5 linked regions of the Macaca fascicularis genome follow. The protein of the gene in region 5 interacts with the protein of the main gene of each other region in a pairwise test. Links are inferred from orthologs where the notes say so. Each region holds a gene or a part of one and is shown on either strand. Other genes may lie near its edges.

Region 1 (4,028 bases), on a different chromosome or scaffold from region 5:
TACATTCTCAAGGGTGGGGAGAATTACAAAGAACCTTCTTAAGGATGGGGGAGAGATTTGTAAAATGTAGATAGAAGACCTACTTTCCCACATTGCTTTCCCACATTACTTTCCCACATTGGTCTCAGGTTTAAAATACATCAATTAGGATACAGCAAAGTCTGTTTGATACTGAAAACTTTCCAGCAAGAATGATCCTTAGAACAAGTCATCTCTCATCTTTGCTCTTGCCTGTAACTACTAAGCGACTACTCCATCTTCTGCGCTTAGGGATTTTAAATTGTTGGCATTTTTGATTTAGCCGGGAATGCGTTGTGTGGGGATATCAAACCTGCATGCTCCCCGAGCATTGACTGTAGTCTGATCATAGTAGGTCATGCACATATAATTTTACTATTTCTCAATTTATTTCAGTGCTGATGCAATTAGCAAAATACGATTTAAGAGTGTTATGATACTCTCTTAAATCGTGATGTCTTTTCTTCATCAAAGCGATACTTAAAAGCACATAATCATCTTGTGGAGGCAGGCTGACAAAATACTTTTTGAGATTCTAAAAGGAATCTTTGTACTTAAAATGTTTAAGGACCACTGATGTATTTTGGCTTCATGTATCAATCAGATTTAGATTTTATTTTATTGTTTTAGAGATGGGGGTCTCCCTTTGTCGCCCAGGCTGGAGTGGAGCTCACCGCAGCCTCAAACTCCTGGGCTCAAGCCGTCCCTCTGCCTCAGCCTCCTGAGTTGCTGGGGCTACAAGGTGTGCCACCATTTTTTGTAGAGATGTGATCTCGCTGTGTTTCCCAAGCTGGTCTTGAACTCCTGGTTTCAAGTGATCCTCTTGCCTTGGCTTCTCAACGTGTTGAGATTACAGGCGTGAGCCACCACTCTTGGCCCCGATTTATTAATAGATTTTATAAGGACATTTTAGGCCTCACGCATCAGTTTCTTAGAACAAGCTTTTCTCTGCACTGCATACTAAATCAGACGGTAGTGCGACAAATAAACGGTGATGATTTCCCTAAGAACAAATCAAGTACAGAAAACTCCCTAATTGTCAGAACAGCAGGTAGTCTGGACGGATCTCTGAGGCTATCCTTAAACAGGTGCACTGAGACGCAATGTGCTGGAAACAAAAGAGCTCCTCCTTGCGCCCTCCCACCGCCCCACTCAATCCTGCTCCGCCCTGGCCACCCTGCGGCCCCGCCCCTATGCGCGCTGGTTGGTCCTCGCAGGCATGATGAAACTTCCCGCACGCATTACAGGAGCCAGGTCGGTATAAGCGCCCGCAGTCTCGCCGCCCAGCACGCTGTCCGCTGCCCGGCCCCCGCTCACCGTATCTCCTTGACTTGCTTACGCCCAGGTGAGCCGGACCCTGCGCTCCGCGCCGTGCGCCCAGCGCCAGCACACTCCTGGTGTGCCCTGCGGCTGCTCCGGGAAGAGGGGGAGGAGGATGCGTCCTTAAGCCTGGCACCCGGCAGACGCAGTTCGGGGGCGCCTGCTGATGCTGCGGCTCCTGCGGTAGAGAGGGCGGGGCGGACGCCTAGCGATTGTTGCGCAACTGGCAGGTAGCGGAAGGACCTCTCTGTCCTGGTCCCCTGAGGCATCAAGAGGGAACCACGACCGGGAGGCCGGGCTGCTCCGGAGAGAAGGCAGCGGCGGTCTGAGTCCCTGTAAATGTTACATGTGTACTTTTTTTACTATGTGGCGTCGAAGCCTGTGGACATTTTCGCAGTCCGGGCCCCTGCGGCGGACTGGTCGGAGCGTGCTGGTGGCCAGGGCGCAGTCAGGCGTCGCGTGGTCCTGATCTAGGAAGAAGAGACTCTGGCTTTATTACCGCCTCGGTGTCTGTGCTTTCCCCTTCAACTGCCCCCGTCCTCACCTGGACCCCTCACCTTCCTCCTCCGCTCTCACCCCGCCACCCCTGCCAGTTCCCACCCCTCTCTGTAGACTGCAAGACTTAACAAGTGACTTGCTGAGCAAACCCTGCCGAGAAGAGGTCTGTTTAGGGACACAGGCGGCCAAGTACAGAAAAAGGTAGAAGAACTAGCGTGCCTTTTTTAGTGGATGTCATTTTACAGGGCTGGCTTCAGATGATTGTTATAGCTTTAAATAAAAGGACAGTTTTCTTCTCGGCCGTTGGCCTACATTATTTCTTTACTGTCCATTGCCCTGGGCGCTTGACTAATAATTTAACAGCAGTTTTTTTTTTTTTTTTTTTAATTTTAAATCATGATTCATAGCATTGCTGTAAGAGTAATTAGAGGTAAAATAGGGCTTGAACTTGTCTGTAGTTGGTTACTTACTGACATCTTAACATAAAAGTAAGGTGAGAGGGTGAAGTTTTAAGTAACGTAAAGTGGAATAGAAATTAAATGCCCTGAAACTGCCATGTCCGGTTCGGTAGGCGCTAGCTACCTGTAGCTGTTGAGCACTTGAAATGCTGGCTAGTCCTAATTGAGGTGTGTTGTGTTAAATACACTGGATTTTGTCGTTGGAGTAGGAAGAACAGTGTAAAATATCTGCTTGATAATTTTTTATATTGATTACATACATGTTAAAATGATACTATTTGGGACATATTGAGTTAAGTATATTTAAAATTAATTTCACCTTTTTCTTTTAATGGGGCTACTAGTATATTTAACATTACATACGTGGCTCACATATTTATTGGACAGCACTGCTCTAGAAGTTTAAGAAGAAATAAGAAAAATATTGAGAACAGGTTGCGGTAGTAGGAACTTTGCCCTTCTATAAGACCGATACCAATAAAAATAATAGGTTAGAGTTTTAATTGGACTTTTCCTACTAGAAAAAATAAGTGTACTTTACATGCCCCTTTGTTCTCCCTCTTTCCCCTCCAGTTTAGAGGTTAGCGTGTATTTATTATAGCAGGATTAATACAGGGATTCACTAAGCGGCGTTAAGAAAACTTAGGTAAATGATTCCCTGATGACCACACTTGATTTTCAAAGCACTTTCCTAACCCATTTTTAACTGGTATAGAGTCAAAGGCAGATGGCTTATTAGTAGTCATCTCATTTAAATCTTACGGAATTTTTCCAGTAAATCTCAAATAATTTGTTGTAGGCTATTTGGGCTATTTGGTCAAGTGCATGGAAGGGACAGCATAGGACATGTGGTACTTCATTTCCAAATTGCTTGAGATGATTTTCATTATAACCATATATTATTTGGTTCTGGTTTTCTGGAAAAGCCAGCTAAACCTTTGGTGCTTTTAGATATAAATGAAATATCACCAAAGGATTGCTCAAAGTGACTTATGCAACTTGAATATATATTTTTCCCTTAGGGTGTTTATCCCAAATTATCTGGGCATTTGCTGCAATTTGCAGTTTTTTTTTAAAAAAAACACCAAAATAGTTATTTTTCAAGTTAGAGATGTTTTAATAAAAACAGTCATTTTGAGCTGGCAGCAGCCAAATAAAACAGCGCTTTATTTCACAGTTGAGAATTGGAAATTGGAAAGTAATTAACATATGTGAGGATGACTTACTTGCTTCCTGGCTTATAGGGATGAGCCAAGTTTTTATTAGGGATGTTGTTGCTGTATATGTCCCACCTAATTTGCTTCCTTACTGAACAATGCAACTTTGAGACAGAAATATTTGAGAACATTTTTGTCACTTGGGACATTTTGATAGTGAACATTTTGTATCTTCTATTAACTTAAAATGTTTTGTTTGTTATAAAGCCAGGATATCTGATATCAAATTAAATTGTTTTCTTTTCCCTTTAGATTTTCTTCAATCACATCTGAATAAATCACTTAGAGGTAACCTAGATGTAATATGGTGAAATGCTTAAAAGAGCTGTGTATCTTAGTATTACACTTACAGCAGTATGATTTTCTGTTGTATACATTATATTGTACCTGCAGCTAGTTCAGATAAAGAGAGGGCATTTAACTGTCAAGACAACCTGAGAGGAGACTCTAGTAATCTGGAAAGTCTCTTGGATCTTTGAGGGATTTTGGGATGGAGAGAGTGGGGCTGGGATCTCTG
Region 2 (4,147 bases), on a different chromosome or scaffold from region 5:
CTCTCTGACCCCCAAAACGTCCCAGCACCAAGTCTGGGGTTTCCCTGGATTGATAGCAGAAGGGGAACTGGATTCTGCCTGGTGAGGTTGGAGGGCAAGGAATGGGAAATGGGGCAGCGAAGTGGTAGGGGATTTGTGGGAATGGGGGTTAGAGTGGGATCTTGGGGGACCTCAGTTCCCTCTCAGGTTTCTGACTTTGATTCCTGGCAGATCCTGGGCCATGCCCTCTCCTAACCAGCCCTGCCCTGATCACACCAACCTCTGACTCCAGAGTCTCCTGTGGCTTAAACAAACGGGTTGCAACAGGGGCGGTGGTGGGGAGCAGCCCAGCCTGAGAAGTCGGCCTCCTGGGTGGTCCAGGGCTGGCAGTAGGGATGGTGCTGGATTAATTGGGGCCCTCTATCTGGGGGGGGGCCCTTCTGAGACCTCCCTCAGCCTCTCACCTTGCCTCCTCAGAGCCTGGGCTCACTTCTCTCTGCTGATGTCAAGCTCCCCCTAAGGAGAACCTTGCTTCTCTCTAACTCCCAATGAGCAAGTCAGTGGCGTCACATTCGGGTACCAGGGACTTTCCTGGATTGACAGCAGGGGCTGAACTGTATTCTGCCAGGGTGGGGGTTCCGGTGGGAGGGGTGTGGGTGGAAAGGCAGAGCGGAAGGAGATCTGGGTTGAGGTATAGGAGTGGTGGATAGGGGTGGGAATGGCAATGAAGTGGGGGTGGGTCATGAGAGTGGGGATTGCAGTGGACTCTTGGAGGCCCTCAGCCCTCCCTGAGATTCCTGACCTTGATGCCTGGCAGAGCCCAGATAGTGCCCTCTCCTAAGCATCCCTTCCATGGTCACACCACGCTCTGACTCCAGAGTCTCCTGTGGGGACCGGGTGTGGGGACAGGTGGTGGTGGGGTGGGAAGCTGGAGGCGGCGGCCTAGCCTGAGAAGTCAGCCTCCGCGATGGTCCAGGGCTGGGACCTTCTATCAGGGATAAGGGTGTCCTGAATCCTCCCTCAGAGTCTGACTGCCTGCTCACAAAGCCTGGGCCCCCTTCTGTCTGACAATCTCAAGCCGTTCTTCAGAACCAGAACCTCGCTTCCCTCTAATCCCCAATGCACAAGTCAGTGGCATCACATCCGGCCACCCAGGGCTTGCCTGGATTGAAAGCAGGGGTGTAACCAGATTCTGCACGGATGGGGATGAAGGTGGGGGGCATGAGGCTGGTGGGGGGTGTTGGGGAGCATAGGGGCACAGGTGGGGGATGGGGGTACAGATGGGGTTGGGAGTGCGGATGGGAATGGGAACAGGGTAGGGGATAGGAATGGGGTGGGGGACGCTCCACCCTCTCCTAGGGTCCTGATGTTGAAGGTTAGCAAAGCCTGTCCCCACCAGTCTTGCACTGATTACACCAAGCTCTGACTGAACAGTCCCCTGCGGCTTAAGCGGCAGTGGAGTGGTGGGCCCCAGACTCAGATGTCCGCCCACGAGTGACCCAGGGCTGAAAGCAGGAGTGGTGCTAGATTATTTGGGGTCATCCATCTGCAGTGGGGAGGGTCTCCCGAGTCCTCCCTCAGCTTCTCACCTTGCCACCTCAGAGAGCCTGGGCCGGCTTCCCTCTGCCAAGCCCAAGCTGCCTGTCAGACCAAGAAGCTAGCTTCTCTCTAACCCCCAATGCGCAAGTCACTGGCATCACATCCGGGCACCTGGGGCTTCCCTGGGTTGAAAGTGGAACTGGAACCCGATTCAGCCTGGATGGGAGTAGAGGTTTTGGGGTGGGGATATGAGGGCAGTGATTCAGCCTGGATAGGGGTAGAGGTTTGGGGGTGGGGATATCAGGGTGGTGGGAGTTTGGGGAGGATAGGAGTACTGGTGGGGAATGGGGGTGTAGATGGGGTTGGGAGTGTGGATGAAAATGGGAACGGGGTGGGGGACCCTCAGCCCTCTCTTACAGTCCTGAGGTTGACGCCTGGCAGAGCCTGCCCTCACCAGTCTTGCACAGATCCCCCCAAGCTCTGACTCGAGAGTCGCCTGTGACTTCAGAGGCAGTGGAGTGGCGGGTGACCCAGACTCAGAAGTCTGCCCACGGGTGGCCCAGGGCTGGCAGCAGGAATGGTGCGGGATTATTTGGGGTCGTTTATCTGGGGTGGGGGCCTCCTAAGTCCTCCCTCAGCATCTCACCTTCACTCCTCAAAGGGCCTGGCCCGCTTCCCTCCGCCAATCCCAAGCTCCCTGTCAGACAGAGAAGCTCGCTTCTCTCTGACCCCCAACGCGCAAGTCATTGGCTCACATCCGGGCACCTGGGGCGTCCTGGGGTTGAAAGCGGAAGCAGAACCCGATTCAGCGTGGATGGCAGTGGGAGGGATGAGGATGGTGGAGGGGGCAGGCTTTTTGGGGTGGGAGACGGCGGTATGAGGATGGTGGTGGATTGGGGAGGATGGATGGGGTGCTGCAGAGGGATGGGAGTGTGGATGGGTTTGGGAGTGCGAATGGGAATGGGAAAGGGAACAGCGTGAGGGATGGGAAGGGGGTGGGGGATAGGAATAGGGGTGGGATAAGCTCAGCCCTCTCTTATGGTCCTGAGGTTGATGCCCGGCAGAGCCTGCCCTAACCAGTCTTGCACTGATCACCCCAAGCTGTGACTCCAGAGTCCCCAGCGACTTCAGAGGCAGTGGCGTGGTGGGTGCCCCACACTCAGAAGTCCACCCACGGGTGGTCCAGGGCTGGCAGCAGGAGTGGTCCAGGATTATTTGGGGTCGCCTATCTGGGGTGGGGGCCTCCTGAGTCCTCCCTCAGCATCTCACCTTGACTCCTCACAGGGCCTGGCCCGCTTCCCCCCACCAGTCCCAAGGTACCGGTCAGACAAAGAAGCTTCTCTCTAACCCCCAATGCGCAAGTCAGTGGCATCACATCCGGGCACCTGGGACTTCCTTGGGTTGAAAGTGGAAGCGTGGATGGGAGTGGGAGGGGTGACGTTGGTGGAGGGAGCGGGTATTTTTGTGTGGGAGATGGTGGTATGAGGGTGGTGGGGGGTTGGGGAGGATAGGGTTGCTGGTGGGGGATGGGGGATGGAGGGTTGTGAATGGGAATGGAAACGGGGGGGGATGGGAATGGAGGTGGGGGATGGGAATAGGGGTGCGGTAAGCTCAGCCTTCTCTCATGCTCCTGAGGTTGATGCCCGGCAGAGCCTGCCTTCACTAGTCTTGCACTGATCACCCCAAGCTCTGACTCGAGTCCCCTGAAACTTCAGAGGCAGTGGGGTGGTGGGTGCCCCAGACTCAGAAGTCCGCCCATGGGTGGCCCAGGGCTGGCAGCAGGAGTGGTCTGGGACTATTTGGGGTCGTCTATCTCGGATGGGGACTCCTGAGTCCTCCCTCAGCATCTCATCTTCACTCCTCACAGGACCTGGCCCCCTTCCCTTGCCAATCCCAAAGTGCCGGTCAGAGAAGCTCGCTTCTCTCTAACCCCCAGTGTGCAAGTCAGTGGCCTCACATCCGGGCACCTGGGGCTTTCCTGGGTTAAAAGCAGAAGCGGAACCCGAATCAGCATGGATGGGGGAGGGAGGGGTGACGGTGGAGGGGGTGGGAATTTTGGGGTGGGAGACGGTGGTATGAAGGTGGTGGGGTGTTGGGGAATATACCTGGGCTAGTGGGGGATGGGATTGTGGATGGTTTTTAGGAGTTCGAATGCGAACAGGGTGGGGGTGGGAATGGGGGTGGGGAAGGGGAATAGGGTTGGGGGACATTCAGCCCTCTCTTTTGGTTGTGAGGTTGGTGCCTGGCCAACCTTTCCCCCGCCCATCTTGCATTGATCACACCATACTCTGATTCCAGAGTGCCCTTCGACTTCAGAGGCAGTGAGGTGGTGGGTGCCCCAGACTCAGAAGTCTGCCCACAGGTGGCCCAGGGCTGGCAACAGGAGTGGTCCGGGATTATCTGGGGTCGTCTATCTGGGGTGGGGGCCTCCTGAGTCCTCCCTCAGCGTCACACCTTGACTCCTCACAGGGCCTGGCCCGCTTCCCTCTGCCAATCCCAAGGTGCCAGTCACACAGAGCAGCTCACTTCTCTCTAACCCCCAATGCAAAAGTCAGTGGCATCACGTCCAGGCACCTGGGGCTTCCTTGGGTTGGAAATGGAAGCGGAGCCTGATTCAACGTGGATGGGG
Region 3 (3,983 bases), on a different chromosome or scaffold from region 5:
CTCCCAAAATGCTGGGATTATAGGCATGAGCCACCATCCCAGTCCCAGAATGTAATTTAAAAATCTTACCATCCTGGCTAACATGGTGAAACCCCCTCTCTACTAAAAATACAAAAAATTAGCCAGGCGTGGTGGCAGGCGCCTGTAGTCCCAGCTACTCGGGAGACTGAGGCAGTAGAATGGCGAGAAACTGGGAGGCGGAGCTTGCAGTGAGCCTAGATTGCGCCACTGCCCTCCAGCCTAGGTGACAGAGCAAGACTCCGTCTCAAAAACAAAAAAAAAAACAAAAAAAAACCTGAAAACTGGGGCCGGGCACGGTGGCTCACGCCTGTAATCCCAGCATTTTGGGAGGCTGAGGCGGGCAGATCACTAGGTCAGGAGATCGAGACCATACTGGCTAACATAGTGAAACTCCGTCTCTACTAAAAACTACAAAAAAATTAGCCAGGCATGGTGGCAGGCGCCTGTAGTCACAGCTGCTCGGGAGGCTGGGCAGAAGAATGGTGTGAACCCAGGAGGCAGGGGTTGCAGTGAGCCGAGATGGTGCCATTGCACTCCAGCCTGGGCAACAGAGGGAGACTCTGTCTCAAAAAATAAATAAATAAATAAAAATAAAATAAAATAACAATAAATAAAAAATTAGCCAGGCATTGTGGCGTGTGACTGTAGTCCCAGCTACTCAGGAGGCTGAGGCAGAAGAATTGCTTGAACCTGGGCGGCGGAGGTTGCAGTGAACTGAGATCGTGCCACTGAACTCTAGCCTGAGCGACAGTGCAAGTCTCCGTCTCAAAAACAAAAACAAAACAAAACCCTTTGTGGCAAATGAACCCTTTTACCTCAGGTTATCAGGCCATAATCTAGTCCCCGCCCTCGACAATTACATTTCATACCATTCTCTATCTTGCCCACTACATTCCAACTATGCTAGTCTTTTTCTCAGTTTCTTCAATGCTCTGTTTTCCCATGTGAGAAATTTCACATATGCTATTTCTTTTGCCTGAAAAGCTCTCACTTCACCTTCAGACTACTGGTTCTCATTCCTCAAGTCTTGGCCTTAAATCTCACTTCTGGCCTGGCGCGGTGACTCACGCCTGTAATCCCAGCACTTTGGGAGGCTGGGGCGGACGGATCACCTGAGGTCAGGAATTTGAGACCAGCCTGGCCAACATGGCGAAACCCCGTCTCTACTAAAAATACAAAAAAAATTAGCTGGGCATGGTGGTGCGTGCCTGTAGTCCCAGCTACTCGGGAGGCTGAGGCAGGAGAATCGCTTGAACCGGGGGGCAGAGGTTGCAGTGAGCCGAGATCACGTCACTGCACTCCAGTCTGGCGACAGAGGGAGGGAGACTCTGTCTCAAAAAAAAAAAAAAAAAAAAAAAAATTCAAAAAAATTTAGCCGGGCGTGGTGGCGCACGCCTGTAATCCTAGCTACTCTGGAGGCTGAGGCACAACGATTGCTTGAACCCGGGAGGTGGTGGTTGCAGTGTGCCGAGATCGCGACACTGAATTCCAGCCTGGGTGACAGAGGGAGACTCTGTCTCAAAAATCAATCAATCAATCAATCAATCAATCTCCCTTCTCAGAGAATTCTTCCTTGACCATCTCATATAAGTATTCTCCCTGGTAATGTACTCTAGCCTCACAACCTGCTAATAACCCTTCATAACTGCTATAACTTCTTAATTCATAATGTTTTGTTTATTGTATAACTTTCCCATAGTCAGTAAGTTCCAAGAGGGAAAAGACCACGCCTGTTCCGGTTCTAACAGCATACCCAGGGCCCAAAGCCTGACATACATAGCTGGCACTCAGTATTTGTAAAACCAATGAATAAAGAATCTAACAGAACTCAGTGGGCGGGCCAATGGGCTTGTCAGGGGCGTGGCCCACGTAGAGGCGGAGTCTCCCCGCGGGATAGGGACCGGAAGCTTGGGCGGAGCTTCCCAGAGTAGCGTACACGCCTTGGGGCGGGTCTAGGCGGGCGGCGAGTTCGCGGGCAGAATTGGGGCTTATTTTCCCTATCCTTTAGCAGTTTCCTCCCCCAGAGCCCTGGCTCACCCGAAGGCACCTCTCCCCACCACTCGGATCCGCTCGTACTTCTCCATCTCATTTCTTAGCGTTTCACTTCCGTCTCCCCCGCGGCGCGTGCGCGGACCCAGCCACTCTGGGCCCCGCCCCTTCACGGCGAGCGGCTTGCGGGGCGGAGCCAGCGCGCTAGGTGTGGGTTTCGCCACGCGTCCGTATTTGTGGGCCTGCACCACACACCTGCCGCTGCGACACGCCGTCACCTTTCCCCTCACGACCCTGCCCCACGCAGTGTCCAAGGGATAGGGCAAGAAAATAGGGCGCGCCCCGCAATGGCGGGCACGGTACCCGCCCCTCCCAAGCATATACCCAGCCCTTGTAAAGCTTGCTAGACTAAAAGGATGTCGCGTTCCTGAGAGTTGCACCCCACAGGCCGGGCGGGGGTGGGAAGAGGATCGACCCCCTTCTTGCCCACGAGTGACGCTATTTCAGGAGAAATCGGGTTCTCTTTGGCACACAAACGATAAACACAACCAAAACGACCGAGGCCAGCGCTCCTGGGAGAAGGCAGCAGAGTTAGTTTCGTGTTTGCCTAGGGAGGGACGAGGGAAATCCCAAGTTGTGCAAGTTGATTCACCTGGGGAGGACATGACACGGTCTCAGGCCGTCCCGACTAGTGAGCACCGCGCTGGTCAGGACTCTCAACTCGCTTTTCATACACACGCACTGCAGGAGGGTAATCTGCCCTCAGTGCTCATCTAGGGTGAACCCCATGGGGGAAGATGGGGGCGGAAGTGAATCACTACCTGAAAGCATCAAGGGGAAAAGGAAAGACCGCGGTTTCGCCGAAATGAGCTCAAGACAAAGCCTAGAGGCAGAGGGCTGGTTAGTGTGACTAGCTAGGCTCTTTACCGGAAGTGAGGTTAATTCCAGGTTCTCCCGGGCTCCTGCTCAGCTGGAGCTCTATAAAAACTCAGTATTCGGCCAGGCGAGGTGGCTCACGCCTGTAATTCCAGCACTTTGGGAGGCCGAGGCGGGCAGATCACCTGAGGTCAAGCGTTTGAGACCACCCTGGCCAACATGGTAAAACCTCATCTCTACTAAAAATACAAAAAGTTGGACATGGTCGTGCTCGCCTGTAATCCCAGCTACTCGGGAGGGTGAGGCAGGAGAATCTCTTGAATCTGGGAGGCGGAGGTTGCAGTGAGCCGAGATCGTGCCACTGCACTCCAGCCTGGGCGACAGAGTGAGGCTCCATCTCAAAAAAAAAGAAAGAAAGAAAGAAAGAAACCCTGCCCCGGCTTTCGCAAGGGTACCCAAACCCGCCCACGGGGAAGGACTGCTGATGGGCGCTGGCTCAGGCCGGTGTCGGCCGGCGGACAGAGCAGCTCTGTGAGCCAAGGGGAGGGGCGGGAAAGCCGCTCACCCGGGACACCAGTGCTCTCACCTAGAAACCGACTGCGCCTTGATTAACCTAGGAGTCCCACAGGGGTTAATGTGTAACCTTGGAGCCATAGGGGAGGAAAACACTCAAACGGCTTGGTCCGTGGGTCCTTGCGCCTCAGGTTTTTGGCTTTTTCCTCCCTCCCGCAGCACCTTTCCCCTCCCTCACTTCTTCCCTCCCCTCTTCTATTACCACCCTCTTCTCCCTCCCCGCCCTCACCCCCGCTTCACTTCCCTCGCTAGCTCTCAGCGGCTCCTCCTTTCGCCCAGTTTACCTAAACTTTCCCCGAAAGCAGCCGCCTCGCTCGGAGGCGGGAGAGGAAGCCCGCGCCACAGTGAGGGCAGGCTGACACCTAGTGGCCAGGAGCCGCAACTGCTGCAAGCTACCGGCCTGGAGAGCGCGGGTCACCCCAGCAGTCCCGGCAAATCCGCGGTCTTGCTTGCCCAGCCTCCGGGGAGCCAGGCCGAGGGCCGGGACTGTCTGAGGGAGGACTGTGACAGCCGCCCGGCCCCGG
Region 4 (4,145 bases), on a different chromosome or scaffold from region 5:
CTATCTTTAAATCTCTTTTAGCTACTTCACTTTTATTTTTATTTTTTTGAGATGATCTGTTGCCCAGGTTGGGGTGCAGTGGCATGATCTCAGCTCACTGCATCCCCCACATCCCAGGTTCAATCTATTCTCCTGCCTCATCCTCCCGAGTAGCTGGGATTACAGGCTTGTAGCACCACGCCTGGGTAATTTTTGTATTTTTAGTAGAGACAAGGTTTCACTATGTTGGCCAGGCTGGTCTTCAACTCCTGACTTCAGGTGATTTGATCGCCTCAGCCTCCCAAAGTGCTGGGATTACAGGCGTGAGCCACTGCTCCTGGTGGCTGCTTCATTTTTAATGGCTGCATAATATTCCTCATCAGAAAGTGGGAATAATTAGGCTAGTCGGCGTGGCTCATGCCTGTAATTCTAGAACTTTGGAAGGCTGAGTTGGTAGGATTACTTGAGTCCAGGAGTTTAAGACCAGTCTGGGCAACATGGCAAAACCCTGTCTCTACAAAAAATACAGAAAATACCGGGTGTGGTAGTGCACACCTGTAGTCCCAGCTACTCGGGAGGCTGAGGTGGGAAGATTGCTTGACCCCAGGAGACTGAGGCTGCTGTAAGCTGAGATCCCACCACTGCACTCCAGCCAGGGTGACTCCATCTCAAAAAAAAAAAAAAAGGAAAGAAAAAAAGAAAGTGTTAATAATTAAAAGTACTTTTAGAGGGTTATGTCATAAGCCTTGACAAGAGTTGTTCTGTAAAGCTACCTGGCATGTAAAACGCTCAATTAAGTTAGTTAGCTCTTCCACAGGATGGAATTATATAACCAACCCCTTTCAAGAGGCATTTAAGTTGTTTCCATTATTTTGTCATGATGAATAAGGCTGAGCAATATTAATCTTTGCTCATATCTTTGGTCATTTCCTTTGTAAATTTCAGGACTGCTGGGTGTGCACATTTTAAAATTAACTCACTCATCATCATGCAGTTAGGAGAACAGAGAAAGGAAGGGGCTGTGCGGGGTCACATAGGGAGTTAGCGTCAAAGTCAGGACTAGGAATCAACCAGGGTCCTCTAACTGGAGCTCTTCCAGCTGGTGCCCTAGAGGAAGTCCCAGCTGCAAGCCGGAGGGAGGAGGAAGGGAAAGAACCAGGCGCCGGGTCTGAAGCGGCGGCAGGAAGAAGGTGGGGCCGGTTGGGAGGTGGGGGCGGAGCTGCTGAGCCGCGCCGCTCCTTCAGGCTGCAGAAGCTAAGCGGTCGCCTGGCAACCCCGGCGGCGCGCCGTTCGAACGGAAGCGAGGAACCAATCAGGAAGTCCGGGTCGAACCATTCTGGAGTGAAGGGGGGCGGGGTGCTCACTTCCCCTTTCTCGGCGCTCGAGGGACTTTCCCTGCGGTGGGGGCCTTCGACAGTCAGGGCCACCCGCTCAGCTCGACTGCGGAGGGCAGTTCCGAAGGGGACCCCAAAGGTGCCCACGCGGGGCTGGGGCCTCCTGGGCGCCGTTGGGAGCGGTCACTACCAGCCCGGGTCCGAGCTGTCAGCCTCTCCGAAGACTGCGCGGAAGGAGCCGGGACACGCCTAGGACGAGCTCCAGGTGAGGGCGCGGGTGGTTCCGGGTGCGACCCGGGGTCTGGGGGACTCTGTTCCCCGAGCGCCTGCTGTCTGCTTTCTCCCCGCGTCGTACCTGCGTGTCATTTCACAGATGAGGACTCTGAGGTTCAGAGAGGCAAGTGTCCTGGCTCGGCGAGCTCTGGCAGAGAATCCAGTTCAAGGCTTTCCGCCCTACCTCGCAGCCCCTAGTCTAGTCGTATCTAGACTTGCCTTGAGAGGTACAGACGGGCAACTAGTAGTCATTTTCCCAGCATTTTATCGGCAGGGACACGGCCTATGGACCCCTGGCTGGATCACCTATCCCTGCGCCCCACACTGTCCTCGGGATACCCCTTTTGGGCGTCTTTCTTCTCCGCAGTCCGGGGTTGGACTCGGCTCATTTGGCGCCCTTCTGCCTACTGGGCTCTGAACTCCAGAGCTCCCCCTCTCAGAGGACCACTCTTTAGCCATCGGATGGCACTGACATTTCTGGGCTGGATATAGGGGCAGCAGATTCTCCAGCCCCCAGAGTCGCTGCTGGCCTCTTGGGAATCTTCCCCGGTCTGGGGAAGGGAATAAAGCCAGTCCCTGAACCAAAGCCACTAGTCACCAGAGACTTTGGAATTGGGGGTGGGGCCGGGATTCCCTCAGGAGGAGCATCTGATCTAGGCCAGATCCTGCTCTGTCTCCTGGGGACACCCCTTGCCCCCTAGGTTGCTATTGTCAGTCTCCTTTTGTAGGTGGGGAAACTGAGGTTCTAAGAAGTTAAGCCTCTTGTCGAAGTCCCAGTCAGACAATGCAGTGGTTATTAGCTCCTGGTCCCTCTGGCTTCAATCTTAGAATCCTTGACACCCAGAGTCATGCATTTTGAGAGTCTTGAATCTCTTCATAAGGGAGTTACATATCTCCTCTCCTCTGGAGCCTCCCCCTGGCTTTGGGGACAGGATCTCCGAACACTCAGAAAACAAGCCTTTCCTTTATTCTTTCAACAAATATTATTGACTTCATAAGCCTTGCTCTTGTTCTTGCATGTTTTGTTTTTCTCAGTAGCATTTACTCCACCTTATGTCCTATATATTTTACTTATTAGCAAATTTATCACCTTCTCCCACTGTGATGCAAGGCAGGGGCTGAGGCAATTGAGGTCCTCACCACCAGTGCAAAATTTAGGGATGCCCTGAACCTCAGTAATCAAGATAACTGAAACTAATGTTCATGGACCATTTGTATGTTCTGCAGGCAGGAGGTTAACTCACACAGCCTTCATGAAGCACAGTCCTCCCATCTCATTCTCTCTCTCTCTCTCTATATATATGTGTGTGTGTATGTGTGTGTGTGTATATATATATGCATATTTATAAATCGTGAAACCACTGCCCTGTCCCTGACTTGCTCTGTGACATTGAGTAAGTTTCTTCAGTCTCTGGGCTGAGCTAAGAAGTCATGATGGTGCACTCAGGCCTGGGCAGAGGGCGGTCTAGGATAGGAAGCAGACTTGGTTGTGGATTACAAATACATCCCCCAGACTCAGCTGTCCCACTTCTAAGCAAAATGATGTAGATGCAGTGATGCTGCAGTGTGGTTTGTAGGCAGAAATGAGACACACTCTAAGTGGCCACCAGTAGGGGATGATGGGAAATTCTACTGTGCAGCTGGGAAAAAGGACATGCTCTTTATGTACTGATGTGGCACCAAGAACAAAACATACTATTGAGCAAAAAGAACAAGATGAAAATGGTACACATAGCATCATGACGCCATATGTGTAACAATGGAGACAGAATATATATTCATACTTGCCTGCATCTGCCTAAAGTCTCTCAGGAAGGATAAGCAACTGTCTGGTCACGATGGTGCCTGCAGGGAGGAGAAATGGGGACAGGGTGGGAGGAGGTTGTTGTTGTTTTTTTTTTTTAAACTTCACTATCTTTACCGTTTTTGAATTTTGAGTTGTGTGCATGTATCATCTATTTTAAAAATTTAAAAATTAAGGCCAGGTGCGGTGGCTCACGCCTGTAATCTCAGCACTTTGGGAGGCCAAGGCGGGTGGATCACTTGAGGTCAGGAGTTTCAGACCAGCCTGGCCAACGTGGTGAAACCTCATCTTTACTAAAAAATACAAAAATTAGCCGGATGTGGTGGCACGAGCCTATAATCCCAGCTACTTGGGAGGCTGAGGCAGGAGAATCACTTAAACCTGGGAGGTGGAGGTTGCGGTGATCCCGGTGCACTCCAGCCTGGGTGACAACAGGAAAACTCTGTCTAAAAAATAAAATTACATATATATATGTGTGTGTGTGTGTATGTATGTATGTGTGTGTGTATATATATATATATATATATATATATATATGCATGTTTATAAATCATGAGACCACTGCCCTGTCCCTGACTTGCTCTGTGACACTAAGTTTCTTCAGTCTCTGGGCTGAGCTAAGAAGTCATGATGGTGTACTCAGGCCTGGGCAGAGGGCGGTCTAGGATAGGAAGTGGGCTTGGCTATGGATCTGCCTCCCACTCACCTTTCTAATCCTGCGTGCCAGGTCCTTCCCCAAGACCTTGCATGTGTTA
Region 5 (3,512 bases):
TGGCCACAGCTTAGCATCAGTGGGTCATGGAACCAATCGTTGCACAGTGGGCAGTGTAGCTCCATAGTAATATCTTGTATCACCACTTTAGAAGGTAGGTGGGCGATTGAATCGTTAATTTCAACATAGTTGCCTGGATCGATGTTGGAGGAGTTGGAGGATACCTTTAGAAAAGAACAGCTAGAATGAGTTTATCTTTCTTTTTGCCCATTTTAACACTCCAGGATGATGGGCTCCATTCCTAAAGGAGCTGAAAATTGGTACAACTAAAGTAAAAGCACATAATCTGTCCTTTGAAAGTGAACCAGTAAATTGAGTGTTTTCTGACATTATGGCATATGATGCTATTTAAACTTTAATGAAGAATCAAAGTAGAGGAAGAAACAGTACTAAGTCAAAGAAATGTACTTTGTTGTACATCTCTCTCTTTACCCACTTTCCCCATGTATCTGTTGAAAGTTTTATTTTCAGCTTCTGCTCTACTAGTTATTACCTTTATTCTATTTTTGTTTTCTAGAAATTATGTATGAAGAATTGGAAAATCAATCAGATTTCTCAGTCAGTAGTATTATATTATCAACCATCCAGGGTCCTCTTCACTCCTTTTTAAAAAACACATTTCAGGCCGGGCGCGGTGGCTCACGCCTGTAATCCTAGCACTTTGGGAGGCCAAGGTGGGCGGATCATGGGGTCAGGAGATCGAGATCATCCTGGCTAACACAAGTGAAACCCAGTCTCTACTAAAAATATAAAAAATTAGCCAGGCATGGTGGCGGGCGCCTGTAGTCCCAGCTACTCAGGAGGCGAGGCAGGAGAATGGCATGAACCCAGAGGCAGAGCTTTCAGTGAGCCGAGATTGTGCCACTGCGCTCCAGCCTGGGCAACAGAGCAAGACTCTGTCTCAAAAAAAAAAAAAAAAAAAAAAAAACCACACACATTTCAGAAACATAAATACAGAAGCTGGCGCAGTGACTCATACCTGTGGTCCCAACTACTCGGGAAAGGAAACTAGGAAGTACCTCAAAGTCATATAAATAAGTAGAGACCAGTGAAAAAGTAGCTACATAGGTAAAGTCCAATAATGCAGTTTTTGGTTTCTAACTCCTCTTTTTCCCCTATTCAATTTAAAAGACAAACGCACAAAACAATAGTTATGTGTGTTAATGGATATGCAATGTGTAAAGAGATAATTTGTGATAATAACAACAAAAAGGAGAGAACAGAGCTGAAAAGGAGCAGTTTTTATAGTAAAAATTTTTGCCTTGTACTATTAAAACTAAGTTGGCATTAATTCACCCTTGATCATTATAAAGTTGACTAATTATAACCCTCAGGTAACTACTAAAGAAAAAACTACTAAGCAATATAAAGAAAAAGAAAAGAGAAAGGAATCAAAATGTTATGCTAGAAAAAAATCAATTAATCACAAAAAAGGGAAGTAATGAAAGAATTTAGAAACAAAAAAGCACATAGAGAAAATAAATAACAAAATGGCATAGGTAAGTCTTTCCTTATCAGTAATTACTTTAGATGAAATAGATTAACTTCTGACTGAAAGGCAGAGATTAGGAAAATGGATAAAAATAATATGAACCGGCCGGGCGCGGTGGCTCAAGCCTGTAATCCCAGCACTTTGGGAGGCCGAGACGGGCGGATCACGAGGTCAGGAGTTCGAGACCATCCTGGCTAACATGGTGAAACCCCGTCTCTGCTAAAAAATGCAAAAAACTAGCCGGGCGAGGTGGCGGGCGCCTGTAGTCCCAGCTACTCGGGAGGCTGAGGCAGGAGAATGGCGTAAAAACCCGGGAGGCGGAGCTTGCAATGAGCTGAGATCTGGCCACTGCACTCCAGCCTGGGCGACACAGCGAGACTCCGTCTCAAAAAAATAAATAAATAAAAATAATATGAACCAACTATAGGCTATCTACAGGAGACTCACCTTAGAACCAAATACACAAACAAGTTGAAAGTAAAAAGTTGGAAAGATAATCCATACAAATATTTACCCAAAAAAGATGTAGTAGCTCTACTTATATCAGGTAAAATAGACTTTAAGGTAAAAATTGTTAAACTTGTTACAAGAATGCAAAGAAGGACATTATCAAGGATATGATAAAAGGGTCAATCCATCAAGAAGATAAAACAAGTATAAACATATACACACCCAACAACAGAGCCTCAAAATATGTGAAGCAAAAAGAGACAAATTTGAAGATAGAAATAGTTCTACAATAATACTTGTAAATTCCAATACCCCACAGTTTCAATAATGGACAGACCAACAAGATAGAAGGTCAGTAAGGAAACAGAAGAATTGAACAACACTGTAAGCCAACTAGACCTAATAGACATATAAAGAACACTTCATCCAACAACAACAGAATATACATTTTTCTTAAGTGTACATGGAACATTCTCCAGGATAGACCATATGCTAGGTCAGAAAACAAGTCTCAATACATTCTTAAAAGATGAAAACCAGCCAGGCACAGTGGCACATGCCTGTAATCCCAAAACTTTGGGAGGCCAAGGTAGGTGGATTGCTTGAGCTCAAGAGTTCGAGACCAGCCTGGGCAACATGATGAAACCCTATCTCTCCAAAAAAAAAGTACAAAAATTAGCTGGTCATGGTGACACATGCCTGTAGTCCCAGCTACTCAGGAGGCTGAGGTGAGAGGATTACTTGAGCCCAGGAGGTCAAGACTGCAGTGAGCCAAGGTTGTGCCACTGTACTCCAGCCTGGGTGACAGAGCAAGACCTTGACTCAGGGAAAAAAAAAAAAAAAAAAAAAAAATCATACAAAATATCTCTTACTACAATGGAATGAAACTAAAAATCAATAACAGAAGGAAAACTGCAAAATTCATAAATATGTGAAAATTAAACAATACATTCTTAACCAATTGGTCAAAGAAGAAATTACAAGTAATATTAGAAAATACTTTGAGATGAGTAAAAACAAAAATGCAGGCTGTGCACAGTGGCTCACACCTCTAATCCCAGCACTTTGGGAGGCTGAGGCAGGCCAATCACTTGTGCTCAGGACCTTGAGACCAGCCTGGGCAAACTAGTGAAACCCTGCCTCTACCAAAAATATTAAAAAAAAAAAAAAAAATTAGCTGGGCATAATGGAACATGTCCATGGTCCCAGCTACTGGGGAGGCTGAGGTAGGAGGATCACTTGAACCCAGGAAGTGGAGGTTGCAGTGAGTCAAGATCACACCTACGCACTCCAGCATGGGTGACAAAACAAGACTCTGTCTCAAAAACAAATAAAAAAACACAGCATGCCAAAACTTATGGGATACAGTGAAAACAGTGCTAACAAGGAAAGTTATAGCTATAAACACCTACATTAAAAAAGAAAGACCACAAATCAATAACCAAAATTTTCCCTAGAACTAGAAAGACAGGTACAAGCCAAACCAAAGCTAGCAGAAGGAAAGAGTAAAGAATATAGGCAGAGCATGGTGGCTCATGCCTGTAATCCCAGCACTTTGGGAGGCGAGGCC

What was found.
Region 1: the proteins of TRIM69 (region 5) and ASNS interact in binary tests that used the Homo sapiens proteins (3 or more experiments, as listed by UniProt). The two-hybrid records come from large-scale screens. The link is inferred for Macaca fascicularis from reciprocal best matches to the Homo sapiens genes TRIM69 and ASNS.
Region 2: the proteins of TRIM69 (region 5) and MAGEA4 interact in binary tests that used the Homo sapiens proteins (3 or more experiments, as listed by UniProt). The two-hybrid records come from large-scale screens. The link is inferred for Macaca fascicularis from reciprocal best matches to the Homo sapiens genes TRIM69 and MAGEA4.
Region 3: the proteins of TRIM69 (region 5) and NEK8 interact in binary tests that used the Homo sapiens proteins (3 or more experiments, as listed by UniProt). The two-hybrid records come from large-scale screens. The link is inferred for Macaca fascicularis from reciprocal best matches to the Homo sapiens genes TRIM69 and NEK8.
Region 4: the proteins of TRIM69 (region 5) and FAM110A interact in binary tests that used the Homo sapiens proteins (3 or more experiments, as listed by UniProt). The two-hybrid records come from large-scale screens. The link is inferred for Macaca fascicularis from reciprocal best matches to the Homo sapiens genes TRIM69 and FAM110A.

What each region holds. Positions count from the first base shown.
Region 1 is NC_088377.1:123,498,115-123,502,142, forward strand, and holds the start of ASNS (asparagine synthetase [glutamine-hydrolyzing]), read left to right. Parts: upstream 1-1,224; 5' UTR 1,225-1,272; exon of another isoform or gene 1,273-1,363; 5' UTR 1,364-1,673; exon of another isoform or gene 1,674-2,037; intron 2,038-3,763; exon of another isoform or gene 3,764-3,799; intron 3,800-4,028.
Region 2 is NC_088395.1:157,991,078-157,995,224, reverse strand, and holds the start of MAGEA4 (melanoma-associated antigen 4), read right to left. Parts: upstream 2,805-4,147; 5' UTR 2,788-2,804; intron 2,184-2,787; exon of another isoform or gene 2,165-2,183; intron 1-2,164. UniProt on the Homo sapiens protein: Regulates cell proliferation through the inhibition of cell cycle arrest at the G1 phase. Also negatively regulates p53-mediated apoptosis.
Region 3 is NC_088390.1:34,201,694-34,205,676, reverse strand, and holds the start of NEK8 (serine/threonine-protein kinase Nek8), read right to left. Parts: upstream 2,805-3,983; 5' UTR 2,743-2,804; coding exon 2,663-2,742; intron 2,130-2,662; exon of another isoform or gene 2,106-2,129; coding exon of another isoform or gene 2,059-2,105; intron 1-2,058. UniProt on the Homo sapiens protein: Required for renal tubular integrity. May regulate local cytoskeletal structure in kidney tubule epithelial cells. May regulate ciliary biogenesis through targeting of proteins to the cilia.
Region 4 is NC_088384.1:86,552,371-86,556,515, reverse strand, and holds the start of FAM110A (protein FAM110A), read left to right. Parts: upstream 1-1,341; 5' UTR 1,342-1,578; intron 1,579-4,145.
Region 5 is NC_088381.1:21,358,694-21,362,205, reverse strand, and holds part of TRIM69 (E3 ubiquitin-protein ligase TRIM69), read right to left. Parts: intron 165-3,512; coding exon 1-164.